Cricetulus griseus: one gene and its partner. The protein of the gene in region 2 interacts with the protein of the main gene of each other region in a pairwise test. Links are inferred from orthologs where the notes say so. Each region holds a gene or a part of one and is shown on either strand. Other genes may lie near its edges. The genes, in order: Cuta and Fblim1.

The links.
Region 1: the proteins of Fblim1 (region 2) and Cuta interact in binary tests that used the Homo sapiens proteins (3 or more experiments, as listed by UniProt). The two-hybrid records come from large-scale screens. The link is inferred for Cricetulus griseus from reciprocal best matches to the Homo sapiens genes FBLIM1 and CUTA.

What each region holds. Positions count from the first base shown.
Region 1 is NW_023276806.1:232,136,720-232,140,167, forward strand, and holds Cuta (protein CutA), read right to left. Parts: upstream 2,031-3,448; 5' UTR 1,967-2,030; intron 1,843-1,966; 5' UTR 1,833-1,842; coding exon 1,791-1,832; intron 1,650-1,790; coding exon 1,441-1,649; intron 1,316-1,440; coding exon 1,256-1,315; intron 1,179-1,255; coding exon 1,103-1,178; intron 1,002-1,102; coding exon 952-1,001; intron 745-951; coding exon 612-744; 3' UTR 547-611; downstream 1-546. Other genes in the region: Phf1 (PHD finger protein 1), read left to right, coding at 1-170. UniProt on the Homo sapiens protein: May form part of a complex of membrane proteins attached to acetylcholinesterase (AChE).
Region 2 is NC_048595.1:11,653,394-11,657,296, reverse strand, and holds the start of Fblim1 (filamin-binding LIM protein 1), read right to left. Parts: upstream 2,644-3,903; 5' UTR 2,583-2,643; exon of another isoform or gene 1,073-2,582; intron 1,001-1,072; exon of another isoform or gene 864-1,000; intron 845-863; exon of another isoform or gene 717-844; intron 1-716. UniProt on the Homo sapiens protein: Serves as an anchoring site for cell-ECM adhesion proteins and filamin-containing actin filaments. Is implicated in cell shape modulation (spreading) and motility.

The DNA of each region.
Region 1 (3,448 bases), on a different chromosome or scaffold from region 2:
TGCCCCCTTCTCCCTTGTGCCATAGTCTGTCTCCAGGGACCGGGGGAGGAGTCCGAGGTGGGGTTGGCTACCTGTCTCGAGGGGACCCTGTCAGGGTCCTCGCTCGGAGGGTGCGGCCCGACGGCTCTGTGCAGTACCTAGTTGAGTGGGGAGGAGGGGGCATCTTCTGACAGCCCTCTCCTGCCCACCTCCCCGTCCACACACTGGCACTTTCATGCCCTGACCTCTGACCTCACCTACAGCTGGGATGTACCTGGAGAGATAGGGAGTAGTTCTCCCTACTGCCCAGGCTGGAATCCAGGGGAGTGGGGAAGTCCTCCTCTCTGCCCCTTCATGACCCCTGACCCTCATCCTTCTCATTTCCTTTGATGTTATTTTGTTACAGCTTTTAAAATATTTTTAAAACTATTTAACCCCTGGGTATAGAGATGGGGGTGGTGGTCCAGGATTCCAGACTCTGTATGACTGTAATAAAGAGAAATAAACAAACCTAGTAGACACGGGTCATTCTGAGGACAGAATACAAGAATCTTCACCAACCACATCTACGTTACAAGGGAAAGGAGGATTTATTGGGGACTCAGTCACCATCACCTGGAAACCGGAGGGCATTAAGCAGAGGAGGGGGTGGTGCCAGAATCTGAAACTGACTCTGTAACCTGGCGCACCCAATGCAGGTATGGGGGGTTTCCCTGCTCCACAGGCAAGGCAATCACCTCAGCAACTTCGTAAGGGTGCACAGACCTGCAGAAGTGACAGGGCTGGGGTTATTCAGTCAGTCACCCAAAGGCACACGCCCCCACTCAACAGTCCGGGACCTTCCCAGCAAGGTCCACCCCAGTGCTCTTTTAGTGAGCGGGGGGTTATATAACACGCGGTGCTTGCCTGAAATGCTCGAGTCCCTGCTTCATCCCCCAGTGCCACCACAAAAGGAACCCTTAAAGCTCTTACCGAACGAACTCTGTCAGAGCAGGGACCAGGGAGCTCTGGGTTTTAATCATCTAAAGGGCAAAGACAGACATAGTTCAACCAAGGGGTGGAGCTGACGTCAGGTGAGGGCTAGGGTCGTCCAAGGAGACAGACAAGAGGGGGATCTTCTCACCATCAGCACCTCACTGTCTTCCTCGATCTTTCCTTTCCATTCGTAGCTGGAGAGATCAGAGAGAAGGGAACAAAGTCTTGGGAAAGAAAGACCCCCCCCCTGAAAATGCTGTCAGCCCCTGCAGTTAGATGAAGTTTGTGGCTGACGACTCACATGGAGGAGATCTGCGGGACGAGGTTGACGCAGGCTGCCAGGCGCTTCTCTACCACGGCCCTGAGGGTGAGGGTGGATCGGGAGCCCGCTCAGAGTGCGCCCAGCCTGGAGCCACGCTGGCAGCCCCGAGCCCGCTCCCGGGCCGCGCGCAGCCCCTGGCCCAGCTCTGCCCTGCAGCTGCCCACCTGGCGATCTCCCTGGCGACTTTCTCGTTGGGACAAGTGACGAAGGCCGCAGAAACTGACCCTGGGACGTAGCCGGAGCCCGAGGCCGGGGAGGACTGGGGCGGAGGGCTTGCAGAAGCCATTGACAGCCAGGCCCGGGGGAGCAGGAGAAGGCGGGAAGCCGCCGGCAGCAGCGCGGGCATCCACAGCAGCGACAGGAGCAGCGTGGCCTGGGCGCAGGGGCGGACTCAGCGTCCCCACCAGTGCCCCCGGGAGGAAAAAGCCCCGCGCCCGCCCTCCCCGCCCTCGGGAATCTCGGGGTACTGAACCCGGGGAAACTTGGAGACCGGAAGGGGCGGGGCCAGACTCACCCCTCCGCCGAGCAGGACGACGGGCGCCCGCCCCCAGCTCATGCAGGCGGGGCTGGTGGAGTGAGGGAGCAGACAGACAGACACACACACACAGACAGACAGATCTCAGGCCGCCCGCTCGCCCTCGCGCGCCTCTCGGGGGACGCGCCCGGCCCGGGGCGGCCGCCGCCTCTTACCTGCGCGGCAGCCACGTGACGGCAGCGGCCTGGCCTGCCCAGATCCGGCCAATCCCGGCCCTCCTCCCGAGGGGGCGGGGCCGACGGCCCGCTGGCCAATCGACAACCAGCACTGAGGACGTGCGCGGAAGTGGCCCGCCCATTTCCGTGAAGCCCTTCGCGCGCGGCCGGCGGGGAGGGGGCGGGGCCGCTGCGGCGGCGGCCGTCACGTGACGGCCCTCGTCCTCTCACGCGGCGCCGCCTCAGGAGCGGCGGGCGGAGGCCAATCGGCGGCCAGCCTCGCGGGCCACGTGACGCCGTGGCTGCCTCAGGCCGGGCCCGGAATGTGCCTAGTAACAGTCCCTCCCCCTCCTCCTCCTGCTCCGCCTCCTCCTCCGCCCCGCCCCGCCCCGCGTTAGCGCCCCGCCCCTCTAGCCCGCCGTCCCCGCTGTCCCCGGGTGTGAGCCGCGGCTGGCCGAGGAGTGGCCCCGTAAATGGGCCCGGGAGACAGGCGGTGGGAGGCCGGGAGCCCAGGCCTAGCCGGGCTCCCTGCCCGTGAGACCAGGGCACACGAGGTGGCAGGCCAGGGCTGGCGTGGGCCCCGCGCGAGCCTGTCCCCAGGAGCGGCCCACCCTCAGTCTTGGCTCGCCTTACCTTCATCCGCCCCCCAGAACCAGGACCTGCCCTACATAACCTCCCTGGGGCCCACACACACCCAGTGACCCAAAAATGGAGAGGGGGCCAGTGAGAGGTCAGGGAAGGGAGGAGGCGGCGCGGCGGGGTGACGCTCTGCCTCCTAAATGTCACCCCTGTGTCAGCGCCAGGGCCCGGGGTCCCTGGCGTGGTTGGCTGGGATTTCCCCAGGCTGAGTTCAGGCTCTTCCAGGTCCCTGTAGAGTTGGGGGCGGCCTCCCGGTCCCAGAGAGATCCCTGTGTGTGTGTGTGTAGGGAGGGGGTCCGATATTTGGGGTTTTATAGCTGGGGTCCGAGTTATCTTTGGAGTGGTTTCTGCGACTTGAGTCCAGTGATCACCCACTAAGACCTCTCAGGTTCAGTGAGTTTCACGTCGCTTGTGGTCCCCTCTCTCCATCTGTGGGTCAGCCGAATGTGCCCCTCACCCCCAAGTGTGCAGCTTGTTTTCTCTGACATACGAATGAATCTGGGGCTTCTCATCTCTGGCTAGGTCCTAACATGTAATTCTGGCCTGGGGCTCTTTCTAATACTGGTTTCCCTTTTCGTCTAGGTCTATGTTTTGGGTCCCCCTAACTACCAATCGAGGGTCTGAAGTCTAGGGCTAACGTGGGTCTGGATTCTGAGATTCTACGAGTCCTGGGGGGGGGTTCCTTCTTTTGAGAGGGGGTCTCTCCCCCTCTAGGTTTGGGTCTGTGGGATTAATTGGTTGAGTGTGCAGGGGGAGGCGAGGTGTCTTTCTCTGGGTCTGGGGTCTGTCTCTGGGTCTGGGGTCAGCTTCCTCAGGACTGCTGCCTCTGGCGTGTGTGAGTCA
Region 2 (3,903 bases):
TTCCTCAGGATAAGAACAGATCCTCATAGTACCGATGGCTCACTATCCATGTGTCTGATCCCCTCGGGTAACCTTGCCTGTCTTCAGCTGTCTGCATCAGGAGCCAGACAGCAGCTCACAGAAGCAGGTATGGAAGCAGAGATCTGTGCAGAGGAAGTACCGCCATGTTGGGAAGGGCATAGAAGCCTCTGGGGCTGAGGTCTAGGCGGGTCACTGGGGGTGAACTGGCCACCGAAGTCCTCCCTGGCACCCAACTATAGCACACCTGGCTAAAAATGTGTCCTTTATCTCCCTTCCTCTTTCTGTATGGGCCACCATGATGCAACTGAAGCCCAGTCATGAGCACTTGGGGAGGAATTTGGTTAGTCTCAAGCAGTGGGGCTGGACCGTTGAGGGGTCACTCTAACGGCAGAGGTGGATCCCACATGGTCACTCACAGATTTGCCTCTGATTCTCAAGGAGCATCAGCCCACATGGACTCTCCTGTTGGCTGACAGAGAAAAAAATACTATAAAATAGCTCTAGGGGCACCAGGCACTGTACGAGCCGCACACTTTTAATCCTAGCACTCTAGTGGCAGAGGCAGAGAGAGGCAGAGGCAGGCGGATCTCTGTGAGTATGAGGCCAGCCTGGTCTACATGGTGAGTTCAAGACAGCCAGGGCTACACAGAGAGATCCTTCGAAAGTATTTTTAAGCCAGAAATGATAATACACACCTGTAATCTCAGCACCCAGGAGGCTGAGGCAGGAGGATTTCCATGAGTTCAACCCCAGCCCCATAAATAGAACTTGTTTTGTAAGTTTTGGTCTTCAGAATTAAAACAGAAACCTTAACAGACATTTACAAAGTCAAGAGCTCAGACCTCACACCTCAGCTGTAGGGAGAGGCTCTGTCACACAGTCCCAACCAGACTGGTCCTCCAGCAGACTTGGAATGCTATCAGAGAAGAGTGCAACCTGGAAGTCCACGGGCATCCTTGAACTTTTTCTTCCCTGGACTGTACAAGTCTCCTCCCCCACCTCAAGTCCCTCCCCTTCCCCCAAACGACCCAACCCAGACCAGTTTCTTGCGGTCAACACATTCTAGGCGGGTCCCCTGGGACAGGCTGTGGCTCTTCCTAACGCTCCCCACCTCCTCCCCGCTAGTCTGATCCCGCTCCATTCTGCCTGCTTTCTCTGAAACGTCCAGCATGGAGGCCAGATGTTCACAGCTGGGCAGCCATACCCGCCCCTATCGGTGACAAGCAGCAGAGGGGACCTCGGGCGGGCCGTGGATGGAGCAGCGCTGGGGATTTTCAGAGCCCTGTCAGGTCCCGTAAGGAGAGCCTGCTGGCTCTTCCCTCTGGTCTCACTGCCCCAGAGTTCACCCTGGAGAGGGGGGAGGCGCAGTATGACTACTTCCCAGCCGACCCTCCACCCCCATCCTTCCTCCCCCGAGGGCAAATCAGACACCCAGATCCAGTCGGGTAAGCGGAGAAAGTGGGAACAAAGGGAAGGAAAGTCATTTCCTGTCAAAAGGAAGGAAGAAGGCTGAGAGCCGGCCAGCCAGCCAGGCCGGCTTTAGGCTACAGCCCCTGGGAAGGGATGTGCTGGCTGCCAGGAGTAGTCCCCTCGTTCCTAGTTCTTTCCTCCGAGTCACTTCTAAGCATCGTTCTTTCTTTCACACAGCCCCACAAAGCAATCTAAGTTTGGAGCCAGAATTAAACTTTGCTGGAGGCGGGGAGGAGGGTGTGTGTCCCCACTCACTCCCACAAGACACCTGGAAGTCTCAAAAAGTAAGGGTCTCTCATCCTCTCTCCTGCTCCAGAGGAGGAAGACGCACAGAGCTGCCTCCTCCCCGGCCACGGCTCCTACTGGGTGACCTTGCTGCAGTCACCCAGCGTCTCTGGGCTTGGTAGTTTAGTCATCAAGTGAATAGCCCTGGAGGGGGCTTCGAGGAGACCAGCTCTGGTCATTCAGCCCCAGAGGGCAGGCGGAGCCCTGGGGCTGGAGGACAGTGGTCTCTATTGTTGAGAGCAGGAATCTGGGCGCTGCCCAGTCTCTCCCCTGGGACCTCAGGTCTGGGCTAGAGAAGGGGGAGTAGCTGCACACACCTTGGGGATCGCTCATTCTCACACCCTGCCAGGAGACCCCTTCCTTCCCGTCCCCTAACTGGAGCTGGGAACAGGGCTCCAAGGCCGTGGGAGCTCGGGACCCCCCCCCACCCACACACACACACTCGCGAGCTCGCCCTGGAGCAGCAGCGGAGCGGGGCAGCTGGCCGGGTCACAGCGGCAATTATAATTCAACCCATGTGCGGAACGCTGTCGTCTTTGTGCAGGAGCTTCCGCCCTGCTAGCCCGTTCCACTTCAGCGCAGGGACAAGAACCCACCGCACCGTCCCGCACTCAACCTCCGGAGTTTTTAAAGGCTGAGATCCTGGGACACACAGGCACAAGAGAACACAGGGATAGTACCCGCCCCGAACCCCCCAGCAGCGCCAGGCTGGGGCCAGCGCCGTGGATGAGAGTTGCCCGTGCGGCCACCTGCGGGTGTCCCTGCCTGGGGCGCAAGGCTGGGACCCCCACGCTGAGCCCACTTACCTGCTGCGTGCCCCATGCTCCGGCCTCCGCTGGCGCTGCGCCTCCGCCCCTCGCTCCCGCCCCGGCCTCCCTCCGCCCTGCCGCCCCGCGCGCCTTACCATAAAAGGTGACGCTCGGGGAGGGGGCGCGGGCTCGCCCTACCTGCCCCCCCACCTGCAGCCGCGCCCCCTCCTTTTGTTTCCCGCCACTCCTCCCCCCTTCCCGTGGCTCCGCCTCCTCCGTCGACCCCTCCCCACTGTGCACCGGGGGATCTTTGGTCACCTTCCCCCTAGGTCACCTGGATGAGCAGCCCCACCTGCCCCATCTGGTGGGGAGGGGTACTTACATCCCGTTTGGCTCTGAGATCCTTCAGGGTCCTGAGTGAGGCTAGACGCATGACTTGGGACTGTTACCCTATCTCCCTAAACCTCGGGTTCTTCAATCCCTAAAAGGGAGTCCCTACTGCCCACCTCTGCAACTTGGCTTGGAGTTAAAGCGATAATGCTAAGAGAATCCGGGACTCGCATAGGCTGGGGTCATGGGCTTTTTCAAGGAATGCCTGGGGCAGGGGCCCCAGAGACCTCAGTGAGGCAAGTCACCTGGGTATGCTGTCCTGAGCTGTCAGTGCCTGCCAGAGCCTATTAATCCTTCCACAAGTGGGTCTCAGGTCCTACGGTGGGGAGGAGGCCCCAACAGGAGACCAGGAGCAGACAATCATGCCACCTGTTTGCTTCCTGGCCCTGTTACTGGCCCCTGAAGAAGCAGAGCCCTGGGGCCTGGGGCCTGGCTTGGGGCTGGGCTGCACAGGTCCCTAGAGGCCTCAGGACATTGCTGGGGAACGGAATCTGGGTCTGATTCCCAGGCGAGCAGATTGTTCTTTTGATTAAAGCCACAATAGGGGAGGGGACAGGGGAGAGCTGGACCCAGAGTCATCGCTGGGACAGGGGCAGCCAGGCAGGATTGGGTCCCCTTCTGCAGCCCACAGCCAATCCACTCCTCACAGCGGTCCTGCGGTTACTGCTGAAGGGACCACCCCACTAAGACATCAGAGTGGGGGTGCTTATCTCCATCCTCTTCCTCCACAACTGAGCCCCACACCCCTTTAACAGCCTTCTCTCCCTCTGTCACCAGCCTTTTCCACTTGGTTCTTCCTGCCAGTGTGGAGTGACAAAGACAGTCGCTACAGTAGCTGCCACCTCTAGAGGCTTCCCCTGTGTCCCTTTCAAACTTTTAACCTTTGCAGCCTCTACTCCAGGACTGAACTGCCCCACCTACAGACCAGACCCTGAAGCTGGTTCGGATCAAGGGTGGTACAATGGGCAAGGGGCGAGGTTGGATTCAA